Linked DNA regions of Kluyveromyces lactis. The main gene of each other region encodes a partner of the protein of the gene in region 2 in a complex. Links are inferred from orthologs where the notes say so. Each region holds a gene or a part of one and is shown on either strand. Other genes may lie near its edges.

Region 1 (5,089 bases), about 2.1 Mb from region 2:
TTTACCATCATTAAGAGCTTCCTTTTTGGGTTTGTATTTAGTATTCAGATAAAAACAGTCCTCAGAATCCTTTTTAAACATGTTCATTTGTAAAAACATTTCCATATTGCTGTCAATCTGAGGTATATTGTGCTTTGTTTCTGTCAAAGTGTTTTTTATTTGTTCAAGTGAAAGACGAGCACTGTTATTAAATAAGTGAAATATTGATGCTTGAAGTAGGTTAACGTGAAGTATCACTATTTCAGAAGAAATTCCATGTCTAAAGGGGCTTTTCAATTCCAGAAGATTTAGCTGACACTGGAGTGACATTGTTTTGTGATCATTCCTATCTAAAACCTTGTAGTACTCCCATTGTTTATTCACCATACCATTTAATGGTTCCGGTAGTATGAGTCCTGAAATTTCGGATGAATCCAACGAGTCCGAGATGTTAGATTGTTTAAGAATGACAGGAGTTATCTTTGGAGCTCTCTTCATTCTCAATGATTCAATTAGTTCGTCGTTTAGCTGCTGGAGTTCAAGAATGTGAACTGACTTCAACAGCCCACAGCAAAGTAGCTGTTGGTCGAATCTCTCGTTTGTTTTAATCAGCTGCTCGGAACCCCCCAATGACTTTAGTACCGACCGTAGAAAATATTTTCTCTTATATATGTTCCATAGTAACTCGTCTTGTTTTGAGTCTGGCGGAAAGATGTCGTTCATAAAAATGCAGCATGATCTAACCAGATCTTTAATCCCAGAAAATTGCCCTTCCTCAGAAACCTTACACAACCATCTGTCAACTTTTTCAATATTCTTTATGTCTGCATTAAAAGTCAATGTAATCATATTCTTCATTATTGCCTTTCGATTAGAATCAAAAGATTCGCTTGACATGGAATAGGTGGAGATGAAGGACGACAAATAGTCTTCGTCAAGCATTTTACATATAACTCGTACTACGAAGTTATCATATTCCTCACCTCGCCACGGGTAATAGGCATATATCATATCCCCTAGCTCTTCTATTATTGTTATTATCGTCATTTGATCATCCATACATCTATCGAAGAAATCCTCGAAGTATTTAAACTTCAATAAAAGAATATCCACAGTATTGATGCTTAAATTTTGACATAATATTTGATATTCGGAACAGTAGTATATGATTTGTTTTTGAAGACTGTCGACTCTTTTGAAGTGGTCAGAACTATAAGTAAAGGAGTTAATTATGCGATTAGTGGTTTCTTCAAAAAGCCCCAACACTGACGATTTATCAATTGGAATATCGTACCTGATAATGTTCTTGACCAAACTGAACTGGGATGTTGTACGTGATTCTAACGCTTCGACTATAAACGATTCGATAGTTTGTCGTAGTTGCGAGTGCAATCGATTTGCTATTCTTGAGAAAAAGACTAACGTTGCGTAGCCTTCTAATGATCGGCAGGAGATATTTTCCAAACTATTTGGAAGGTTCCGGAGAAAAGCCTTGGTGTAATATTGCAAAGAGTTCACCTTGCCCTGTATCTTTTTGTAAGCATCTTCTAACTCACATAAGTTTGTTAACCATTCTATATTCGTGAAATCTTCCTCGTCCACCTGTTCATTTATCAATTTGCTAAGAAGTGACCAGAGATCTTCAACAAACGTGTCCTTAAAGACAGCAGCATATTGACTTGAATTACTGGAAGCCTTAGCAAGCCTCGGTACTTTACATCTAATCAATTTTTGCAAAGTGAAATATATCTTTTCATCGTGTTTAAGGTCATCTCCTGGGATTTGATATTGTCTAAGCAGCAGTTCGAGCTCAGATAACAGAGAATCGTACAGAACTTTTGAGCTTTTGATTCGTTCGGGAACCAATAACGGCATGTCACATTGACTGTACGTTGAGGGTGGAACCTTTATGCGATACATACTGTCCCATAACAATTGAAATACTAAGTGTTATATGATCCTACGTACTTGCCCAATACTATATCAAAAAGACATACGAGTCACGTGCCAGGTAAAGGAAGTACATTGTGTTGGCTACGTAACTAGCAGCCAATGACGTAACAGTAGAAGTTTTGGTATACTGAGCTCATGGTATTGTGAAAATATTATTCACCAGAAGTTTACTGTTAGGTTTGAATCCAAGATTAAGTGCAAATATGCCATCTTCTTTCCTGATCAAGAGTCCGTGCTTGACTAAGGATGATAAATAATGGCTGAACATTGCTTGGTTGCGAACGGAAAGAGCACTAATCATTTCATCTAGCGACCAGCTTAGTTTTTTATTGAACAATGTATCAAGAATGACAGCATGACATAAATTGAAGTTTATGGATATGTTGGTTTTTTGAAAAATTGTAGGTTTCATGATGACTCTATGTAGATGCGGTTGATCATAAAAGTGTACATTAATACCATCACTTGTAATCCGTGGTTCGTGTTTGTTAACCCATTTTCCTGGCAGATTAAAAGGAAGTTTTGCCGAATTTTCTGAGTAAATATTAGGAAATATTTTTGCTGGTAAGATGATATCGTTCTTCCTATTGTTTCTCGTTATCTTTAATGACAAATGACTGAACATCCTGTTAATATTATTTAGTGTCCCAGCATCCTGCTGCATTACTATGTAAAAGCGAGCGAGGGGAGCGTCAAGTTCTAGTTTCTTGCCAACTAAAATAGATTTGACTAGATCTATGGTTAGATTATCTCGAATGATTTCTTTTATAACGTATTGCTCAAAATACGAAGCAGAAAATGGTTGAAATTGTCGAGTGTTCTTCAAGAATACTCCTATTTTCGTTAGCCATCTTCTTTCTTTTTCAGTCATGTTGTATGCTTTTTTACCCAACACATCTCCAATGTTGGTAGTGCCTGGAAAATAAGTAAGAATGTGTTTCACCATCAGTCTCATGAATTTAATAGTATTTTTAGAGTCCAATTCAAATGCGTATTGGCGGCTCATTATAGGCTTGCGCTGTTGAAGAATGAAATCCATCATTCGGATCAAGAGGCGGTGGTAATTAGGCCCAACCTCAGTCAAATCTTGTACCCACTTCGTAGTAATTTCGAGGTTAGCAGATAGTATATCCTTTTCGGTCAAAACACTTTGTAAACCACATATATTATAGCTGATACGCTGAGAATTGAGCGGTTGTGATGAACCGAGTTTCTGTGAGATCGAAGCTTTGTAGAAATCAACGTCAGCAAATACAGCAAAAAAACCGGCACGAGTCACTGCAAAAACTTCTTCGGGATATATTTGGAGAGTCACGTTGTGCAAATAATTCATGAAGGTATAAGCTTCCGCTTCAAAGTCCTTAATATCTGACTGTACTTGCAATTGGGTTTTGAAGGTTAATACCAAGCCCTCGAGAATAGATAAGATAAATCGTGGATTAACATCGTTGTTCTTAGGTAGGGATATCGGATCCAAAAAATGATGATAATGTGAATCAAATCCTAAGTCTGAAAATAACTTGCAAACCTCATAAAACTGGTCATTCGATATGGATCTTGTCTCAACCTCAATTTCAAACCCTCTTCTAATTAGATCGTTCAACTCAGAATATAATTTATATCCAACAATGGTGACCAGCCATTGTACGAGAAGTGAGTAATGTCGTATATTTAACCCGAGTTTGTGTAGTGCTCGCTCTAAAGGTAAGAAAAGAGGCTGTATTTTCCTTAGTTGAAGTTTTATTGTTAGGATGTGTTTTGCCAAGCTCCCAATAGTCAATGGACTTTCAATAGTGTTAGTCATATGCTGCATTTCATTGTCAAAGCTTTGTAAGAAACCTCTTGTGACATCGAGTAAACGGTTCTTATTGTCGTCCAATCCATTAGCATCCGAGTACCTTAGTTGGTCAATCCATCGTGTAAGTCGTTTATTCACATCTTTTAACTCATCCTCTGATTTATTCACTAAATTACCGTAGGTGAACCATGTTAGCTCTTTTCCGTTTCGAATATTCATGGGAAGTTAATAGTTCATATCTTTCAGGTGTCATACACAGGGCTCAACGTATAACAAGAAGCTCTATTGCTCCTGCCACTTCTTTGTTGAAGTGCATCTTGAATGGAGGTTTGACTATTGAACTATCTTGTCTTGGCCAAAAAACTGGAAATTTTGGCGATTTTGCAGACCTTTTCTTTGCAATTCAGTGTAAGAAATTGCTACCTTGGTCTGGTATTGATGGTTTCACAATCACCTAAGGGTAGTACACGGCATGAATAGTAATGGTAACGATTTGAAAGAAGAGTCTTTAGATCCTGCCAAATATTTGGCGGAAACTTTTAAGAAGGAGGGTCATTTAGACAGTTTAAAGAATGAAATACTATCTCAAAATGTAGAGGGTGATATTAGCTTGGACGAATTCATAAAGAGCCGAGTAAGGGATTTAGTTCGTGATAGGGTAAATGAAGATGAGTCTTTAATTTTCAAGAACAGAGGTACCACGACTGCTCTTCTTGAGGGCCAATTATTTAAAGACGGATTCAAGAGTTTAAACACGTCAAATATCGATGTGGAGAAGCTTCTGAGTGATTCACTTGACGATGCGACGACGAGACAAAAGATAAGAACTATCCTTGAAGCCAAAACTAATGATAGTTGATTGAACAGATAAAGTAGCAAGGCTGCTACATATATATTTTACTTCGTTAACTAATGTAATATAATAGGTCATCGCAACGGCGACTCTTAAATTTTCTACCGGCTCTATCAACACTTCTATATTTAAATCTATCACCAAGAATTGTATAGGCTAAAGATTCTTCTTCATTGATTGGAATCTCGAAATCGAAAGTTGTTCCTTTCTTCGGTATGCTTTTCAATTCATCGACTAATCCGCCTTTCGTTATGATTATGAATGTCTTTTGAGCATCCCATATTACAATACCATTTTTCCCAGTTAATGACTTGTTTTTGGATTTAGATACCTTCAACTTACACCCGTTATAATCAGCCATAGAGAGCTTGATCAAAGTTTGCTGAGAGTTCAAAGGTAATGGATTTCCAACTTTGTGATTATCTGGGATGTTCAACAATTCTTTCATGTATGGACACCATATATCTTCGAACATGGAGGAGAAAGTTTCAAAATTCGGCAGTTGC
Region 2 (9,814 bases):
ACTTTGACAAAGCTTTAGAATTAGATCCAAACTGCTCTGCTGTTTACTATCATCGCGGTCAAATGCATTTTGTTGTTGAAAACTTCAAAGAAGCTGGTGCCGATTTCGATAAGGCTAAGGAATTAAATCCAGAAAACATTTTTGCCTACATCCAATGTGCTTGCTTGGCTTTCCGTGACGATAGATTTGATGATTGTGAAACTTTGTTCAGCGAAGCCAGAAGAAAGTTCCCAACTGCTCCAGAAGTTCCAAACTTTTATGCCGAAATTTTGGCTGCTAAGAACTCTCTAGATGCTGCCATCAAGCAATACGATATTGCCATCAAGTTGGAAGATGCTTTACCAGGTATTCACGTCGGTATTGCTCCAATGATTGGTAAGGCCACTGCTTTGATTAGAAACCCAACCGTTGAAAACTTCGTTGAAGCTTCCGAATTATTTGAAGAAGCTTGTAAGATCGATCCAAGATCCGAACAAGCCAAGATCGGTCTTGCTCAACTAAAATTGCAACAAGAAGAAATTGATGATGCCATTCAATTGTTCGAAGATGCTGCCGATCTCTCAAGATCTTTCGATGAAAAACTACAAGCTACTACTTTCGCTGAGGCTACCAAGGTCCAGAAAAAGATCAGAGCTGATCCATTCATTAAGGGTAAGATCGACGAAGCTATTGCAGCCTACCGTGCTCAAGGTCTCGCGTAAATTAGCATGATATTCACGAATGAATTTAATTCATTTCAATATGAGTAAAGCTACAATAGCTCATTGTTTTTGTCTCACCTTAATGACCATAATGGCAACATACCATGCAACATCTAAACGAATGAATTACCAAGAAAGTTATGATTTTACAAACAAAAAGTTGTAGCATTTCACCCAAGTTATTTATGACTCGTAAGCAGCGTGAACTGTGTTAATCGTAAACGACAAGATCTCAACATTACAACGTGAAGAATAAGAAATAGTTATCAATTCTTCACAAAAACAAGACAAAAAGAAACACAGAAGAACAAGAATACGAGAACAACGCTTTTCAATAACAGCTCATTGCAAAATATGTGCTCCTAAATACCCCTGGTTCAAAAACATCATCTTCTACCATTTTGCTAGAAACAAATACGTCTTTCTGTATATACATGTATCTCCCCCATCTCACAATTTAATCAAATTGTAATTTTAAACACTTCGATAGTATATCACTACATACGTTTCAACATAAATGACATTTTTTGTTTTCTCTGAAAGAAGTGTATGTAATAAAAGTTTCTTGTGAGATTATGGCAAGGTACTGAGTGAAAGTGAGCTACAATTCAAGTACTTCATTGTTAACGGACTATAGCAGGATTTACCCCACCAGCGAACTACTTCAAATATGCTATCTTCTATCTTTGGTTCGATGATGAACTTTTCCGCTAGAACTGGACTTCTGGGATCTAAAACTAATGTTTCATCGCTCATCCTCACCAGAAACTTGATGAAAACACACAAAGGTGCCGCAAAAAGATGGAGAAAAACAGCCAATAGCTTCAAGAGGGGCAAGGCTGGAAGAAATCATGGTAATGCTGGATGGAGTAGGAACTCCCTTAAATCATTATCTGGCAGGTCATTAGCAGACTCCACACATATGCATCGTTTAAAGAGATTGCTTCCATACCATTAAGAGATGAAAGGCAATTAAAATAAGATATCGTTTCGATTTCAATCCTGTACATATAACAATGGCATCCCCATAATGAATGACACACCATTTCTTACCATGATTTTCAGTAAAGCATGTCATGAAAAATCAGCGGGTTACTATAATGGATAATTATCATTAATAAATACCTATATACAATTTGCAAACAACGGTAAAAAATGATTAATCATATATATAGTCAAATTAAGTCTCCGAGATATCATTCTCGATCCAACTACCTGTTTTTGGATTCTTTCTTAATTCTACCGTTGGGAAGTAGTGATAGTTTGTCTTTAAGGAAATGGCAAACGGAACATCGTCAAATGTCATTAAGCGTAACTTGCAGTATGTATTATCTGGGATTTCTTTAACAACCTTCAAGAATGTATCCAAATCAGGTGTTGATTGGTCATTGACGTGTGTGATAAAGTTGGTCACTTCTATTCCGTACTGTAACGCCAAAGAAGATGTACCACGAGAAACCGCATATACTTCACTAGGAATAGACGTTTTTACTTGACGCACGGCATGATGAGGAGCTTGTAGTACGCAACCTGCGAATACGACAATTCTAGTGGTTTCTTCAATTTGTACAGTTTTTATTTTCAAATCGATAACCTTCGCATCTCTTACAACCTTGAATAACAACTCAGATTCGATATCCGTATCGTCATCAGTCCCCACGACACCACCAATATCCCTCATTCTTTTTACCAGTTTCCCATTAACTGATAAGATAATATCACCAGGCTCGAGCCTTTCCTTTATTGTTGTATAGGAGTTTCTGGTGACACTGATGAATTGTAATCTGTTTTCTGATTCTTCTTCCATCATCTTAATCCATTCTTCAGGAACACCTCTGATTCTAGCCTGCAATAATGAGATGGAATCAAATCCTGCGTCCACAATAGAAACCTTAGGATTCTTACCAGCCCTGAGAATATCTACAACTTCTTTGATATCCACTACGTCTAAACCCATTAAATACAGTTTTTCCTTGTTACCCATGCAGGATAACCAGATTGCTCTCACTGTACCATCATCTGCCGCTAATATTCCTGATTTACATTTGGTGCTTATATTCGAATCAATGGAGATGACTTCTAGATTGGTTGCTCTATACCTAGGAATGATGTCGTTAGGAACACTCAGAGAAGAGATGCCATTGACTTTAGTCTTGGAACTGATTAAAGTGTTTGAGTACATGTAACCAATGAAATTAGTTTCGTCTCCTCTTTCAAGCCTTTCATTAGCTAGCACTGGTGTGCATACTGGGGCGTCAACTAAAGATGGATCATATTGAACAATAGCGTAATTTTGGGTAGGATGTAAGAATACAACTTTAGCAGGTACAAGAATGGATTCAGCGAACGAGACAAACGTGTTCAAACAGTCATGAGGAACAAAACTACGTGAAACAATAACATATCCCTTCTCAGCATCGAGTACTAAACCACATCCGTTTGTGGGTTCGGGTTCCATGGAGTCCATGGTGATAGCAATAACCGAATGTACAACACATAGACTATGTGACATTTTTGCAAGTTTTTTATTATCATTAATCGGTAGATCTAAAATCTTAGCTTTCTGTGGTTTTATTGGAAGTGGTGGTAATTTCTCAGTGATCTTTTCATAATCCCAAATACCTGTTTTGTCATTTCTAGTATAGATTCGGAACTCACTGCACCAATGACGGTCAATATAAACACTGGTTATTCTTTGTGTTTGAACATCTGTCAAGTTATGGAATTTCACGATTACTCTTTTTTCGTCAGGAATTGTTTTCATGACTTCTATAAAGTCGTCTAGAGTTGGTGTTTCTTTATTATCTACAAAATCAATAACCCATCCAGTTTTCTCCTTTGGATCCAAATCGAACGATCCAGTGGCACTTGCCACGAAAACGCCTTTTACAGGTAACGCATAGCATCTAGCCATTTGGTACGAAAGCTCATGGAAATTAGCACCACACACCTCGACATAACGTGAAGGAGTAATAATATGCAGGTCACCAACAGTGCATCTGAAGGAAATATCTTTGGAACCCCTTTGAACCACAATGATTATCTCATCTCCTACACTGCTATCTAGAATGTTATCAACTTGAATAAATGAACATATTGGTGTGCCATTAATAGAAATTAATGTGTCACCCTCTTGAACTTTATTATAAGCTGGTCCCTCTCTGAGAATAGCCTCAGCCACCAGCAAACCAGTTTTACCCGGGAACCTCTTACGAGCTTCCTTCTCACGATCTTCACTTAATCCAAGTCTTCTACATTCATCGAATGGTTTCAATACCCACTGAGTTTGGATAGTACCTCTGGTGATTGGTTTATCCGTTTGTACGCATTGTAGAGCTCTGACGACTCGATCAAGAGGCAAAAAGAAATCTGTAGAAGCCTCCGAAGAGCCACCGGCCTGTAAAGCGACCGCATACCCCTCTACAGTAATAACTGGAGAACCAGAAGAACCACCTGATGCAGCAGCAGCAGCTTGAATATATTCAGTATTAAAATCATTATACGTTAGCTCACCATAGTCTGGTGCATTTCTGTCAAGTCTACTGATGAACCCTGACAAGATACTCAATTTTTCACCAGCATCGTTACCAACAACACGGATTTCAGAACCAACCTTGGCCAAAGATGGTTTCAACTCTAGTGCAGTGACCTCGATATATTTCAACTTCGATGGATCAAACTTCAAGAACCCAAAATCATGAACTGGGTCGCGATAGATAGGGATGACATCACACTCTTCGTGATTGTCGAAAATGGCGTATCCGATGAATGGACCTGGACCCACAACGTGTCTGTTTGTTAAGATGATACCGAGTTTTGCATCAACAATGAAACCTGTTGCTTCCGACACCAAGGCAGCTTCTGAATCGAAAGGTGCGACTTGCGAGAAATGAATTGAGACCACCGACTTAACAACTTTGGAGATAGTTTCTTGCCATTTAGCGTTGTTATTGAATAAAGAGTTGCCTGAATCTATAGGTACATCGTTCACTTCATCATAGTCTTCTTCATAATCAATATCTTCGTCTACACTACTTGTGTTCTGATCGACGTCATTGTCGACCCTCTGTTTCTTGGATTCAAGATCAATGTCTTCAACAGATGATTCGAGTAGGTTTCGCTTCAACTCAACAGTCATTTCACCAGTTACTCGGTACGTACTTCGCAGTTGATTATTCGAAGAGTAATCCGATCTCCAGAGTTCTGACAGACGGTAATGTCTCTCTTCAATTCATCTCATCTGCGCTCTCTATGTTTAGTTATCTTCTTTTTTTTCATCTTGCCGTTCCCTTCGGTAAACGTCAACGTGAAAAATTCATTAGAAAGGTAATGAAAACGTATTGAATGATAAATGCGAAGATGGGGACGGTGAGAAGAAAGGTATCGGAGGAAACCATTCATGTGCCATCTCTTAGACTGAGGTCGACCATAATTCTTCGTTTCCAGTTTGAGTATTGCTCTTCTGATACGACTTCATATTCGTCTTGTAACATGCTGCCTATTCTGACGGCGATAGCGTTATCGAAATCCGATCCATCGTAATAATCGAACTTGACACGGAGTTCTCGGTACCATTTCTCACCGTCTATTAGTTCTTTTGTGATCTTGATAGCTTCCATGATATCTTCATCATTTGTTGTTCTCATTTGTGCCGCCATCTTCTTCATTAGCTTGTTATCGATTGTACTGTCCTGATTTCTCTGTTGGTTGAAGACAACGAACGAGCAAAGAAGTACCAGACCACAAACCAACTGTGTAGGATACGCTAGGTAAGTAGCGTTGTTATTGAATTCGGAAATTATGGTAGCTGTTACTTCTTCAGGAAGTTCAAATTCATTGCACAGAGTCACCAGTTCAGCGGTAGACGGTCTATAGTATTTTTTGTATAGCATGTTCCATTCGTTATACTTACCTCTTTTCTTTCTTGGTGAAGGCGTGTATTTAGAAGGGGAGTCACGAAAGGGTGACTGTCTTAATGGAGATTCAGGATCATCCTCAACTGATCCAAACACTTGTGGTATATTGATCATATCAGTCTTATTCTTCGGGGTTGCTAATATGGGCAACGGAAGGCCATTTTCTGTATCAGCTTCAAACACTAATTTCCTCCGGACACTTGACCTACTCCCTTTGCTAGGTGAAAGATCAACATTCTTCAAGGGCTGGATACCACTTTTAGTTCTTGATTTCGACGGAGTCTGGAATAGCTGTTCTTGTAACGACTTCGGATCTATCCCTGTGAATCTTGCATTTTTAACCGCTGACTTTCTAACCGATGGTGATGCAGTATCATCAAACTTCAGCAATTGTCCTTCGGTATCCTTTTGCGGCGAATGAGGCCATATGTTTCTCTTAAATATATTCACAAGTTTGGATACTTGGTCTGGTGGAAGCGGGATCTTCTCCTGAGAATATGGTAGGTCATTGTCATACTTCTCAGCTAGTTTCTGAAACGCAATCAGTGCACATATATGGCACCGAGCAAGTTCCTCTGAATTCTTCAGCATCACTTTCGATACTGAAACGTTGTATAATGTTGCTGTAGTAGAAGCCACTTTCTTTAACCGTTGGTCTTGCCAGTCAACATTAGAATCATTTTTGACCCCTAATAAATCGGTTACACACGTTCGTACTTGCTGCGTAGACATCTTAAATTATTTCCACGGATTCTTAGCACTCTAAAGTGACTAAAATAGGATCATCTACTCACTTGTTGTATTACACTGGCCCGGAAAAGACATATATCTCATCTCATCTCCATGGACCATTTTTAACATAATATTAAAAACAGTCTTTATGTAGCTTTTTGATCTTTTTCTGATTTTCTCGATTTTCTCCAATATTGAAACAAAATATGGTAAATAATGAAATTGAATATTAATCAAAAGTATCATTATTCGCTTCTCCATCTATAAGTTCAGTTTTGGCAATACTTCTAGTATTTCATCTAGCATAAGTTGCTATTCCAGCGTGTGTGTATATTTTAGTTCTCATGAGTGGGTACTATAATAGACAGTACTCTCATTTTCATGGGAATAATGATCGGTACCAAACCGGACGATATGCATATCAAGAAAATGGGAATAGGTACAAGGGCTTCCAACGGAATGGATCAGGGAACCGAAGATACTCCCGCGAGGGGTTTGGGTCTCAACTTAGGAATAATGAGAACGAATCTCGTCCAATACGGTCGCAGTCGCGTGGTATCAGCGAGATTCCTCGTAATCCCTTCGCAACGCGTCCAGTAGTGAGTGCGAAATACGATCGCGATGAGTTTAATACAAAATATCATTATTACGACATTGTAAGTAAACGACTACGAAATGAATCCAGCTTCAAGAAATGGAAATCTGAGAAGATTCCTGAGCATGGATATGTGACAACAACGGAGTTGATTGCATCGGATAAGCAAAAACCAATACTCATGGCCAGGCAGCCTGAACAAACTTCGGTGGATCCGAGAATACGTCCTATGAATGGGGATGCGGTCTCTGGGTCCATTTCTGCGAAAAAGAGATATAGAAAGCTTAGAAGTGCATTGGTACGCAACTCGCGAATTCCGTATGATTCTTTCTACATTGGTCCTGAACCTCCAAAAGAAATCATAGTATACCCTTCTGCATCTAACCAACAACCAATAGCAGCCGCATTATCTGAAGCAATAATCAAAAACTACTTTAAATCATTTGGTGAAATAGCGCATTTTGAACAGTTCATGGATCCAAATAGTGCATTGCCATTGTACGTCTATCTAATAAAATTCACTGGTCCAGTTTCTCAACCTGATGCTCCATATAAAGCTGCTTATAAGGCATCAGAGAAATTCAAAGACGCACCTTACACAGTATCAGGTATCAAGTTCAATGTCATTTTAAACCAAAATACAGTGTTAAATTCAATAAAGGACAAACTAATCAAACAGAACGCAGCCAGAGTGACAGAAGTGAATAAAGCGAAACGGGCCATTGCAGAGAAATCATCCGGGCAGAAACCTCAAGTAATAAGAGGAGTGCCATACGATTTAACTCAAGTTGTGAACAACAGACCAGTTTTGTTTGTTCCTGCAAAGATTACGTTTTATCATAGGTTCAATGCAGCAGATTTCAGATATCAACTTCGTAAGTACAATTGGGCCAAAATTATTGATCACTACACTGGCGTATATATTGTTTTTCATGATCTGGAAAATGCAAAAGCATGTTTAGAGTACGAATCAGGTGCCTTGGTCATAAATTCGCATAGGACTCACTCTCCCATACAAATAGAATTTACTTTCATTGAACCAAAGAGGAGACTTCAATCAAATATCACTAACCAAAGAGATATCAATAAACCTCGAAAGATAGAGTACTCAAGCACGGAAGAGCTATTAGAAGCCTCCACAAAACAAATTCTCAAAGATTTGCATAATATCATTAAGCGTGATATCTTGAGAAGGCTTGTAGGTCCAATTATATTTGATACGCTAAATCCTGCTAACTACCCGGAAGTTGTAGAAAGGCAGAAGAAACTGGACGATGAGAAGAAGAAGCGTGAGGAATCACAAAAGAAGACAACGATAAAGGCCAAACCCGCAGAATTTGATATTTTCAGTCTATACGGACCTGCGTCTAAAACAAAAAAGCTGAAAAGAGATAGGAAAGCTGATCTAGGCAAACGTCATTTATACACTGAAGAATCTCCTGATCATCAACGTAAAAAGAAACCTAAGGTGGAACATATGTCGCATTTGTTAAATGATGAAATTTCTACCAGAGAAGATACAGTGGATTCACTCAATGTTGGCTCAAACGGTGAAAACTCTCCGGAGTCATCTGGATATGAATCGGAAGATATTATTTCAGATGAGTCGAAGAAACAGTCTTCCGTGATAACAACACCGGAGGAAGACCTGCCCGAAAGCGCTGCATCTTTACCTGATGAAAGGTCCAAGGAATTACTACAGTATGAAGGGAAATACAAACCTATTGCATCAGAATTCCCAACCCCAGTATATCCTTATGATGACTTTGACTTGAATAAATCCAAGCAGCTTTCTCTCGATAAGTTCCAGCTTGCTTTGAAAGACGAAGAAGATTTCTCTATTCTCAAGGGCATTGTCTCAGAAAAATCAAAAGATATTACTACTGATTATACACCATTTTTGCCGTACTCAATGTGGAAGTTATACCAACAGATTGAACAAAATGGAATTATTCGGGATAACCAAATAGCTTTGAATGAAAAAGAATTTGATTCAACGTTAGCTTCAACGACTGGTAGTTTTATTGCTGATGGCTTTAAGAAAATTCCTGATAAACTGAAATCTTCATACCTTCTTCATCATCGGAGGTTGGCGCAACCTTTGAACACTGTTCATAATCATCAAGAACAGAATTTCATGGCTTTGAATGGAACAGAATCAACAAATCAAGAGGCTGACTTAGAGCAAGATAACCATAATGCATCCTCACGTTTGAACAGAGTTTTCCAAAGACGTTTCCAGCAAGATATAGAAGCGCAAAGAGCTGCAATTGGCTTTGAATCTGACCTATTATCATTAAACCAATTAACGAAAAGAAAGAAACCCGTCACTTTTGCAAGATCTGCAATTCACAATTGGGGCCTATATGCATTGGAACCTATAGCAGCCAAGGAAATGATTATTGAGTATGTTGGCGAATCAATTAGACAACCGGTCGCTGAAATGAGAGAGAAGAGATATATCAAGTCTGGAATTGGTTCAAGTTATTTATTCAGAATTGATGAAAATACAGTTATAGATGCTACAAAGAGGGGTGGTATCGCTAGGTTTATTAATCACTGTTGTGAACCTAGTTGTACGGCAAAAATCATCAAAGTCGATGGCCGAAAGAGGATCGTCATTTACGCGTTACGTGATATTGGTACCAATGAAGAACTAACGTACGATTATAAGTTTGAAAGGGAAACTGATGAAGGTGAAAGATTACCATGTCTCTGTGGTGCACCATCTTGCAAAGGGTTCCTCAATTGATTTCCTTTTCATGCATTTCTTTTCTATAAATTGCAAACGCTACATAGTTTATAACATTCATTTTCTCACGGGAATTCTTTTTTTTCTTGAAATGAGCAACAAAAGTTGATTAGTTTGG
Region 3 (5,513 bases), on a different chromosome or scaffold from region 2:
AAAATCTGGAGCAGCCACCGACGATGAAGCAAATGCTGAAGCGGGGGTTGTGGCAGATGAAAAGATTAAGTCTTTGGAGATTGATAAACCTATACATATGCATGAACATCATTTCAAAGAATCTTCGGGTTCTAGTAATGGAACTGGCTCCGAGCATGGAGCCAATCCATCTTCGACTAGCGGTACACAGGATGAGAATGGCAATGAGTTGATGTTAGATGTTGTCTACACCAGATGCTGCCATTTGCGTGAAATTCTTCCGATTCCTTCTACCTTGAGACAATTAAAGGAGAAAAAGGCACCTTTGCAAACATTAAAGTTTTTGAACCCAAGGCCCACTCTTATTGATATATTGTCCTTCTCTGATTTTATTGCTATTGTCCCTATCCACAACGTTGTCTTTGATAACGTCGGCCTAAGTCCTGAAATGTTTAAGATAGTCATATCTTCATTAGTTAAAAGCATCACCCTTGAAAGACTATCGATGAGAAATGTTGTTTTCGATGAGCGTGGATGGAAACTATTGTGTAAATTCTTGATGAGAAATAAATCATTGACGAAATTAGACATCTCGCAGACCAAAATCAGACATGATCTAGATCTTAAATTACACAGGTCTCAAATGGATTGGTCTTTATTCATTGATGTCTTGCACAAGAGACAAGGTAAACCACTAGAAGAGCTACTCCTCAATGGTGTTTCTTTTGCCAATAACTTGCACACTTTCGAAAATATGATAAACGCGTTTTCCTCAACTAAGAACGAATTTTCAAGGAAACGTAAGTTGGGTCTCGCTCAATCTCAGATAGCTTCCTCAGAACAGTTAGAAATTCTATTTAGATGGATGTCTGAAAATGATATCATCGGTGTTGATTTGGCATTTAATGACTTCGAAAATTTGACAAAACCAATTATCAAAGAGCTTTCGCAACGCAGCTTCGACTCATTACAATACTTCACATTGAATTCAACAAACATTCAATCGGTGCAAGAGGCTGCATTGATTATAAGGGAACTATCAAAATTACCGAAACTTTATTTCTTAGATCTATCGGGATTGCCTTCATTATTCCCTGCAATCTTTCCTTATTTGAACAAATATCTACCGCGTTTCCCTTCTCTAAAAAGATTACATTTTGATTCTAATGAATGGACCTATAAGGACATTTCTCTTGTAACACAGATTTTACCCAAGTGTAAAGAGCTTTTACATGTTTCAATGATGAACCAACCACAAGAATCATGGGCAATGAGTGCAGCTGTATTTCTATATGATTGTATCAAGAATAGCGATAAGTTGATTAACTTGGACTTCAACTACGAGAACATTCCAGAGGAAATCAATTCAAGAATAGCAATAGCATTAGTTAGAAACGCGCAGAAGTCAATTGACTCTAATTGGCAATTGGACGAACTTTCATCGCAGGACGATTTACTTTTCGATGGTGAACTAATCAGTGAAACAGCCGGTAATATTTTAGATAAGCTCAATGACTCTGCTAAGCTTCAAGAAGATTCGACGAAAAGGTATTTACTCAAGCGTTATTGGGAAAAAATCCACACGATTCATGCCAATGTTCAAAAAACCATAGACAGCATGTTCGAACAAAGAATTTCAAAAGAATTGTCATTACAGAGCAAAGAAAATTTATTAAGACTTATTTTCATGGAAAATACCTTAGGAAATATCCTAGAATACTTGTCCACTAATCCGTATATCCAGGAATTAAATTATGCCAAGAATAAAGATGATGATAATTATTCTTCTAGTGATGAGAGACCAGTACTGAAGCATGTTGACTCCGAAAGAATAATGTATGCGAAACCACTTGTCGATCCTATTGACCAGGACATTGATCAAGAGCTAGAACACGAGCAAGATTCGAACAGTGCTAAACCCCATCTGATGGCTACTGATTCTGGTAGGACCATTGATGTGACTACAGGTAGGCCGATCTTAACGAAGACAAGTTCTCAACGTTCTATTTTCGGTAAAAAGCAAGAAGAGGAAGAAGGTGAATTGCACAAATGGGGGTTCTTCGTTCAACAACAGCGATCCATATACCCAGAAAACACGCCTATGTCTAAGTATCAACAACAGCAACAGCATAAGCATGCACAAAGGAAGGAACCACAATTGTCACAAATCGTTGAAAAACCACGAGAACAAGTGCAGACTTCACAGAAAACCGGGCAGCCTGCAGCTACACCGACTGCATCTACCCCTCCAACTTCTTCAAATTCCATTCCTGCTCTGTCTAAATCCGCGGCATCTGCAAAGCTCATTGGGAAGATTCCATCTGGTACGGAACTTCGTGAGGCTATCATCAAAGCGAAAGGTATCAATTCCATTGAAGACTTGATTGATAATGTTAATTGTCAACAAGTCAAGTTGGATAATATTTATGGTATCCAAGTTGAACCACCTGCTGATGCAAAGCCATTAGTTTTATCACCTGGAGGAAGACCGGACGGGAACGTGAGTCATGATGAGAGACACTCCGCGCAGGAAAATGGATTCCCATCTGAAAGTGAAGATAGTTATGTCGAAGATGAAACCACCACCGAACAACTCAACGTTGACGAGACATATGACAAGTTGTTGAACAATTTGAGTCGTGTTCGTTCTAACAGAGGATAAATAAATATTTTTGCATAAACAAAAGTACATATGGACGTGCCACACACACAATAAATAAAACTAGGTACAGGAAGACCAAAACAAGCGCCATGGTGAATAAAATTAACGATGAACGGTGTATCACTGGCAGGAAGTAAAGCATACATTTTCATGATAATGACAATGTTCTTAGGATTGGTCTATAATATTTGTCCATTCCGAATACGATCTCTGATCCCAATCTGCTTATTCCAATATATCCGGTACAAATAAGCAGCAATATGAAGTTCATTATTCTTTTACGAGTCTTTAGACTACGGACATGCATATATTGAACGGTTCCAGCGATAATATGATACGATCCTAAACCAATAAGAGCAACCAAGGGGCCATATCCGAGACCTATCCTCACCAAAGCACCTCTGTCTTTATCTAGTAGCCATTTGACAAAATCAAAGTCTATATCAACTTTCGCCGTATTTGGCAGCCATTTCATGAGGGCACCATGAAAGAATAATACTGGAGTTAACAACCATCCTGTAAGCTCTTGTGGATTATATTGAAGGTTTCTCTTGATCCCAATAAAGTACCCACTTAAACCACCTACAAGACCAATTCTAGATTGTGCAAGTGACTGAGTATCCAGCAAGGATTCGGCATTATGTGTTTTCGAAGAAGTAGGCAGCTTCCTCATTATTCTCAAGGCAAATCCGGATAATATATGTATTGATATCCCAGTCCAAATCAACTTAGATCCAAGTCCAGATGTGAGTTCTCTAACCATCATTAAAGCATCGTTTGGAAAAGAGGAGGGCTCAAGAGCAGGAATTATTAGGGCATTGATACCGTGTAACGGAAAGTACGTTACTAGAGGGAATAAAGACCATTTTTGCGTCCACCTTAGCCATTTCTTAATATTCAACACTAAATTGACGCTGGCATCCTCGGGGGTTTTTGCTAAATCGGGGTCGATGTGTTTGGTCGGAATGGGCTTCAACGGTGTCAATTTCGCAGCAGTCATGAAGTTTATCAATTATAAGTCAGCGAATCACGCACTTGTTCATATACTCAAAGGGCAAGTGATATTTCTGAGAATCTTGGTATATCTGTTTCTTAATTTGATGTTGGCTTATTCATTACATTCCATCTTTACACATTGCATCAGAAAAGGAATATTAAAATGTAAAAACCATTACACGAATCGATGAAGGTAAAATAAACAGAGAAATAACACAAATATGGCCTGTGAAGGGTACATGAATGGTTGCATTTGAATATTACAAAGAATATACTTCATTTTTTCTGCCTAGATATTTATCATCATAAGATAACTCCAGTATAGGATTGAATTTACAGTATTCACGATGTCATTACCTAGTTGGTGCCCCAGGTATGACAGCAGGAAACACGACCCAAAAACTGGGGAAGAAGTTTATTGTATATGTAAGAAACCAGACACTGGGGAGTTGATGGTAGGATGTGATGGATGTGATGATTGGTTTCATTTTTCCTGTTTAAAGATCCCCGAGAAATATAGAGATCTCGTTTTTTCATTCTACTGTTCGTATTGTAGTGCTGGAATTACAGGACCGGCATTGATAAATGGCGGCAAACTACCGAAAACTCTTTGGAAGAGGAAATGCAGGCTCCCTGAATGCTATACAGAGTGTGATGCCAATTCAAGAAGCAAATATTGTTCAAAGAAACATGCTGTTCAATACGTTCAAAGCATTGTTGATAAGTTAAATCTACCTGGCGTAGATAAGATTGCATTGTTGAGACAGCTTCTAAACGAGACAACATCATTGGAGGAATTTAAAACGCTAGGACGAGACAAGCTTCCAGAAGTCACGTCACCTTTATCCAAAGATCAATATTCCAAGTTGCTAGAAAATGATCAGCATTTAAACAAATTAATTAACGAACACGATGAGTTGGTTTCGGTCAAGCTTTCAAAACTAAATGAAGAAGATGCAGTAATAGAGAAATACGTCAACTGGATCGGTGAAGTTAACGAGAGATTATCCCCACATTTCAATCAGCCTACAGGTCGAAAGAAGTCGAAAAGTGCAAGTAAAGTTACAATATGCGGCTACCATAATGAGTTCACGATCCCTCGGTCAGTTGAGGAGTTTTTAGATAAGCTACTTCAGTTGAAAGAAGACGAAAACAGTAATATCACATCAGTTGACGGTGTTTGTGTAAAGACAAAATGTGCTAAGCATCAGGATTGGATTACATTGTCCCAAAACGATCTCTCGGAACAGAAGGACTCTCTAGAAAACGTCAAAAGAAGACTCGATTTACTAATTAGCGTCAGAACGAACCAATTGAGAATCTCATTCTTCGAACAAGAGATGTCCAATCGCGTCCTACCCGGTGTTAAGACCTAGCTCATATCTAATGTGTCACTTTTCTGTCATTACAATGAAGGCGAAACGCTTATATTTAACTTGTAGCATCAACTAGCAAGAAAAGCATGTATAAATAATTTAACCTAATACAAACATCAGGTTTTTCATATGCTTCTAGTCCAATAATTGAACGTATATAAGCTTTATCCTATCGTAAACCTAATTCATCTAATCGTCACATAGTTAAAGTCACTTACCATGTTATTCATTCTATGAGAAAACAATATAAAAATGAAAAACCAATGAGCTCAATATCACCATTAAGGTCTGGTTGTTTTACGAAATATAAAGGGGCAGGACAAAAGATAGCAGACATACCTTATAATTGTATCTCCTATTAGGAACCTCTATTCTCTCGCTGTAAGTTTCAAAGATATTGGTTTTGTGGTAAGCGTTTGGAGGAAGCTTTTAAACACATAAACTTACAAACAAAATATGGCAACAGATATCAGAACAAACAAGGTTAAGAACGAAGAGTT
Region 4 (5,609 bases), on a different chromosome or scaffold from region 2:
TTGGAAAATGAACTATGTGCCATCCTATACACAGACCAATACAAGGAACTCGTATCATTATTCGTTGCATTATTACAACAAAATGAATTATCTGAAAGAGCAATGGCAGTAACTGCCGCGGTGATTGAGACTGTACCAGCGTTATACACCGCATGGAACTACAGATTCGAGATTTGCATGTCCTTGTTCCGGAAAGAAGATGTATCCGCATGGGAGAAAGAATTGGATTGGCTCGATGAGTTCACCTTAAATAACCCGAAAAACTACCAGATTTGGTCGTACAGACAAGCGCTACTCTCAGAACATCCATCCCCCAAATTAGTGCGAGACCTTCCTATACTAGACGTGATGATCGATGACGATACAAAAAATTACCATGTATGGTCGTACCGCAAATGGTCCGTCCAATTCTTCAAAGATTGGTCCCATGAACTCGACTTTGTGAACAAGTACATCGATAGAGACGTGTATAACAACAGCGCCTGGACCCATAGAGCTTTTTATTTGAAGAACGTCGATCATGTTCAAGAGGAAGGAGTAGCAGAGGTGGAAATTCAATACTGTATGGATAAGATATTGTTGGCTCCACAAAACGTAAGCCCCTGGAACCATCTACGTTTTATTTATAAGTCATTCAAGAATAACGAATACGATTCCAAGTTGATTAATTTTGCTTCGTCCTTCATAGATAACGCCTTGGAGACATATACCGACCAAGAAGAAAGACCAATCTCCCATGTTAAGTCTTCTTTCGCATTGGAGCTCCTAGCTGATGTATATTCTCAAACAGACTCGGAAAAGTCCAAGATCGCATATCAGGCATTAGCAGACACTTGGGATCCTATAAGGAAAAACTACTGGAATTTAAAAATCAGACAATTAACTATATAGGATTGTATTATTAACATACAAGGATGCCTTGTCGCGCAAAGGGCTCCCACATCCAAGCTCACTTGGCTATCCTACCCGTCGGTACTACAGAAGTATCATATCATCTCTACCTTCACTGACACAAATCACGTTTCTTTCCCTCAACTAGACTGGAAAAAAATTGTTCCAAGGCCAAAAAGATTAAAGAAGAAGAAGCGATGAGATGAGACGAGGTAAAGTTTAATGAGTGGACGGGAATCGCCTCAGAGAGAGATATTAGTACCGGCAAGTATTCATAAATAATCAGCTACAATCATCTGCAATGGCGAATACTGAATCTGATATTACAAGAGTACTAGGTGGGATCTATGTTGGTGGTATTCAACCAATTGCGAACCATGTTCCACTGAAAGTGAATTATCAGATCACTCACATCCTATCAGTGATCAAATTTGAGATCATTCCAGAATACTTGGTCAGGAAGAGTTATACTTTGAAGAATATTCCTATTGACGATAATTTGAGTACAGATGTGTTGCAGTATTTCAATGAAACGAATAGATACATCGATTCATGCCTGTTTCCCGATGAGATAGAGCTTGACCGAGTGAAGGTTGATTTCAAAAAGAAGCCCCAAAAGGGTGCCATATATATACACTGCCAAGCAGGTGTATCCAGATCTGTTACGTTTGCAGTAGCGTATTTAATGTACAGATACGGGTTCAATTTGAAGACAGCTTTACATGCAGTGAAGAGGAAACGGAGCGTAGCTGAACCAAATGAGAACTTTATGGAGCAACTGAAGCTGTATGAAGCCATGGGTTCGAATATAGTGGATGTCGAGAATAAAGACTATAAACAATGGAAATTACAGAATTCCATTAAAACTGATCCCTTGGGAGCCAATATCATGGCTCAAAATGAAATGTATAAGTCTGAAGAAGTTGAAGCTGAAAAGGTAGCTAAGTTATCGAAAGAGGAAGTAGAAGATGTTTCTGCGATCCGTTGCAAAAAATGTAGGTTTAGACTTGCATTTTCCACTTCTTTCATTAAGCATGATCCTCCAAGTAAGGAATCAATGGAAGGTCATTTCATTAGGAGGGCCGCAGGATCTAGAAGAATTATTGATATTCAACAATCACAAGACCGTTGTTCGCACTATTTCGTGGAGCCTTTGGAATGGATGAAGAAAGAATTACAAAAGCAAGAGCTTGAAGGTAAATTTTTCTGTCCGAACTGTGATAGCAAGATCGGAGGTTACAATTGGAAAGGTTCTAGATGCAGTTGTGGTAAATGGATGATTCCGGCAATCCATATCCAAACAGCTAAAGTCGAACAAATAGCATTAACTAGGAAAGACCTACCTAATTTAGTATCGTTTGAAGAATAATGGTCTCTCAGTACTCGCATAAATATCATTCATAAAGGTTAGCATTTTTTATTTTATTTGTTTAATACATGTCATTCTTCTTTAATAGGCATTTAGGTGAGGCTAGATACTCGTGAACCTTGAGCACCGGAGTCTAGAGTATCAGATATGGTCAACGATGGCTGTTCATGGACCGAATCCTCATTTTCATTTACAAATGGCAGTGCATCCACATTTGAATGCCTGGATCTTGACCGGTTGGTATAACTTGTATCAATTAATTGTGAATCCTCAACAAACGTACCTCTCGTTCTGTCGAGCATAGATCCTTGTTCGTGAACTTCCGCATACTCGTTATCGTAATCATAACTTTGATCGTACTCTTCTTCAGATTGTTCACCAACTTGTGCTGTCAGCAGTACCGATTGTTCTGTATGTTGATGATTATGATTTGACACAATAAATGAAGAGGAAGTTTGGTAGGCATTAAGTATTGGTTCTTGCCCTGAATTGTGTTCATTTTGTTGCTTGTTCTGTTTACTTCCCTTCTCCTTTTCGATCTCTTTTAGGGTTTTATCAATGCCAATAGGTCGCAAACTTGAGTAGCCAAGAGATCTTATCAGCAATAGTGTCGATTTATCTAGAATGTTAATGGTATTGGAATCAGACACATCTCCGTCATTATTGGCAATTAAAGGTTTCTCACTATGGCAAGTATACGCCGCAAGAGGAATCAATCTCTTCCCAGGCTTGATCCGTCTCTTGGTATCTTTATCAATGTTCCAACTCACCGGTTTCCCTTTTCTGCTTGTCTTGCTTTGCAGAAGCTCTTTTCGTAGATTGTTTATCAAAGGAATGTTATTGAAATCGGATGGTGCAGAAGGTTGTCTGAAGGCATCAAGGCCATACATAAACTCTCCAAGCCCCATATCTTACTTGTAAAGCCTACTGTCTCCAAAAATATTTTGTGAACAGCCTCTTAATGTCTGTTATTGCCATTGACACAGTGGTGTTTAACAGGACACAAGTAAATCATGATTTAAAGGTTTTATTTTAAAAGAAATAGAAAAAGCATCAACAAAAATAAGGAGAGCTGTACTACTCACCAATTACCAGTAGTTAAACGCCGGCGTCTTGATGGCATTCACTCCAGTTATCTTATATTTGATATGAATTGATAGAAGACACTAAAAAGAACTGAATATTATATATTAGTATGTATGTTTGAATAAACGTTATTGGTGTAACTACAGGTTACGCTTTCTTTCCATATGATCCAAGAACTTGTCAAAAGGAGTCTGTTTCCTAAAATAAGCACTTCTTTCAGCCATGTTAGCCAACTTATCGAATAAGTATTCTCCCCAGTCAAGATACCGTTTAATATAATTCTTCAAGTCAGACATTTCATAAGCGACAACATAATTGTTACTTCTACGCAATCCAGCCAATACCATAGACAACAACGCTAAGTCAATACTGTAATGAACTATATCTTTAACCTGATTGGAATTTGATAAATGCAGTTAAGATTACCTTTTAGTTAGTAAATCAAAGTCCGTTGATGAAAACGGTGGTGTATCTAACCACCTTCTTCAAAAAAATGAACGGTACGTACACCCATGATTCTTATTACAAATCTCAAATATGTCAGTTCTTTATAAAGCCAGAGTAAGACCAGAAAGGCTCTATTTCTCTACCTGCAAGTGACTAACACTATTGATTTCTTTGACAGATGTCATTACAATTTCGAGGAACATTTAAATTTAAATAAAACTGTTAACACCATCAAGAAATATTACCAATTTGGAGACAAAAAGAGAAGCTCAACGGGACACCAGCGGTTTAGCAACAGTTCTGTGATTATCTAAAAGTTAGCTGAGAAAGGAAATATGACTGTTAGCATTTCCAAGAGCAATCTTCTACGATTTGAGCCTGTGAAGTCCTTCAGAGTTTCTGATAAAGAATTGGGACCTATAACTTCAGTGACATTTGATGACCATGGCCAGTACTTGTTGACTGCAACTGCTAGTGATAATATGCATCTATATGATGCAGTAAGTTGCAGGTTTTTGAATACCATCGCTTCTAAAAAATACGGATGTCATTCCGCAAAGTTTACACATGCGCAATCAGAATGTATCTATTCATCCACTATGAAATCGTTTGACATAAGGCATTTGAATCTTGAAACAAACACATACCTTAGATATTTCCAGGGCCATGGTGCTCTAGTGAGCGATATACAAATGTCCCCGTTGGATGATACTTTTTTGTCTGCATCGTATGACGAATCGGTAAGACTTTGGGATTTGAGAAGCTCCAAGGCACAGGCCCTTATACCAAGTTTAGTCCCCACATGCATTGCTTACGATCCAAGCGGGCTTGTGTTCGCCATTGGTAACCCTGAGAACCATGAAGTCGGTTTATATAACGTAAAACATTTGAAGGCGGGCCCATTTTTAGTTATAAATGTGGATCCAAGCTTTGATCAGTGGAATAAATTGGAGTTTTCAAACGATGGTAAATATTTGTTGCTTGCGTCGTCCGCTGGAAAACATTTGATCATGGATTCCTTCGATGGTACACAGTTATTTGAATTATCAGGAACTAAACCTTTCCCATTGAGAGAGTTCATGGATTCTGGATCCGCAACGTTCACTCCAGATGGACGCATTACATTGGGAACTGATTACACTGGGAAGATCGCGATATGGAACCACGCAGACTTCATCAGTGGTAGGACGCTCAAACCTCAAGGATTTATTAACGCCGCACCAAATACATGTCCCAGAACTATTGCATTCAATCCTAAATATAGCATGTTTGTCACTGCAGATGAAACTGTAGATTTCTACGTATATAACGAATGAATTATACTGGGATCTGGATATATGACTTCGAAGCCAGACTCTACCCAGAGCACCCATCTATTTAGGAATGGCACTCGACATCTCGATAACATTTCCATGTTACCGATGACACAAAGCTGCCTTTTAGGTCTGGTCATCGCGACATTTAATCTTCTTTCATCTTTCAAGAACCCAACCTCGAAATTCTCGTTACTTCTTACTAAAGATAGGATGATGCACTCCTTTTCTCTACCTTGAAATCCGTCTACGGTAGATATCTCAATTGCTTGATGCTTTTCATGGATGAGTTTTTTCAACAGCGATACTTGTGAATTATACGGGGAGATCACACCAATACTTTCTTCCGTAACACCAGCCTTTATCAACTGCTCAACGTGGTATAATGCCAAATATGCTTCATTTTCGTTGTATTTTGAAGAGACTAGGTGGAACTTATCGTCTGCATCGTTGTCATTTTCATCAGACCTTTCTGGAAAGTCGTCTCCCTCAGTATCTAACCA

What was found. Proteins that work in one complex are often made in the same cells at the same time.
Region 1: SET1 (region 2) and SHG1 share a complex: the UniProt entries of both Saccharomyces cerevisiae proteins name them as parts of the set1C/COMPASS complex. The link is inferred for Kluyveromyces lactis from reciprocal best matches to the Saccharomyces cerevisiae genes SET1 and SHG1.
Region 3: the proteins of SET1 (region 2) and SPP1 are in contact, whole or in part, in a cryo-EM structure (PDB 6BX3), measured with the Saccharomyces cerevisiae proteins. The link is inferred for Kluyveromyces lactis from reciprocal best matches to the Saccharomyces cerevisiae genes SET1 and SPP1. Residues at the interface, in NP_011987.1 of Saccharomyces cerevisiae: Ile800, Trp801, Gln802, Ser803, Arg804, Arg805, Leu808, Glu810, Glu811; in NP_015187.1 of Saccharomyces cerevisiae: Asp134, Ala136, Val137, Val166, Asp169, Asp170, Gln177, Ile178, Val180, Leu185, Thr187, Tyr345, Ile348, Leu349.
Region 4: SET1 (region 2) and SWD2 share a complex: the UniProt entries of both Saccharomyces cerevisiae proteins name them as parts of the set1C/COMPASS complex. The link is inferred for Kluyveromyces lactis from reciprocal best matches to the Saccharomyces cerevisiae genes SET1 and SWD2.

The regions. Positions count from the first base shown.
Region 1 is NC_006042.1:193,497-198,585, forward strand, and holds SHG1 (Shg1p), read left to right. Parts: upstream 1-4,202; coding exon 4,203-4,589; downstream 4,590-5,089. Other genes in the region: cullin RTT101, read right to left, coding at 1-1,899; KLLA0_F02167g (uncharacterized protein), read right to left, coding at 2,066-3,949; POP4 (RNase P/RNase MRP complex subunit), read right to left, coding at 4,636-5,089. UniProt on the Saccharomyces cerevisiae protein: The COMPASS (Set1C) complex specifically mono-, di- and trimethylates histone H3 to form H3K4me1/2/3, which subsequently plays a role in telomere length maintenance and transcription elongation regulation.
Region 2 is NC_006042.1:2,241,568-2,251,381, forward strand, and holds SET1 (histone methyltransferase SET1), read left to right. Parts: upstream 1-6,693; coding exon 6,694-9,696; downstream 9,697-9,814. Other genes in the region: protein channel TOM70, read left to right, coding at 1-701; MRP35 (mitochondrial 54S ribosomal protein bL35m), read left to right, coding at 1,372-1,659; NMA111 (Nma111p), read right to left, coding at 1,882-4,839; ORC6 (origin recognition complex subunit 6), read right to left, coding at 5,099-6,349. UniProt on the Saccharomyces cerevisiae protein: Catalytic component of the COMPASS (Set1C) complex that specifically mono-, di- and trimethylates histone H3 to form H3K4me1/2/3.
Region 3 is NC_006040.1:615,646-621,158, forward strand, and holds SPP1 (Spp1p), read left to right. Parts: upstream 1-3,984; coding exon 3,985-5,013; downstream 5,014-5,513. Other genes in the region: HER1 (Her1p), read left to right, coding at 1-2,641; MCP1 (Mcp1p), read right to left, coding at 2,790-3,641; KLLA0_D07282g (uncharacterized protein), read left to right, coding at 5,470-5,513. UniProt on the Saccharomyces cerevisiae protein: Component of the Set1C/COMPASS complex that specifically mono-, di- and trimethylates histone H3 to form H3K4me1/2/3, which subsequently plays a role in telomere length maintenance and transcription elongation regulation.
Region 4 is NC_006041.1:1,604,243-1,609,851, forward strand, and holds SWD2 (WD-repeat containing protein SWD2), read left to right. Parts: upstream 1-4,128; coding exon 4,129-5,109; downstream 5,110-5,609. Other genes in the region: RAM2 (bifunctional protein farnesyltransferase/protein geranylgeranyltransferase), read left to right, coding at 1-891; tyrosine protein phosphatase YVH1, read left to right, coding at 1,193-2,260; MND2 (Mnd2p), read right to left, coding at 2,353-3,168; MCO12 (Mco12p), read right to left, coding at 3,487-3,738, 3,855-3,860; ATP-dependent 5'-3' DNA helicase HCS1, read right to left, coding at 5,091-5,609. UniProt on the Saccharomyces cerevisiae protein: The COMPASS (Set1C) complex specifically mono-, di- and trimethylates histone H3 to form H3K4me1/2/3, which subsequently plays a role in telomere length maintenance and transcription elongation regulation. Involved in mediating RNA polymerase II termination.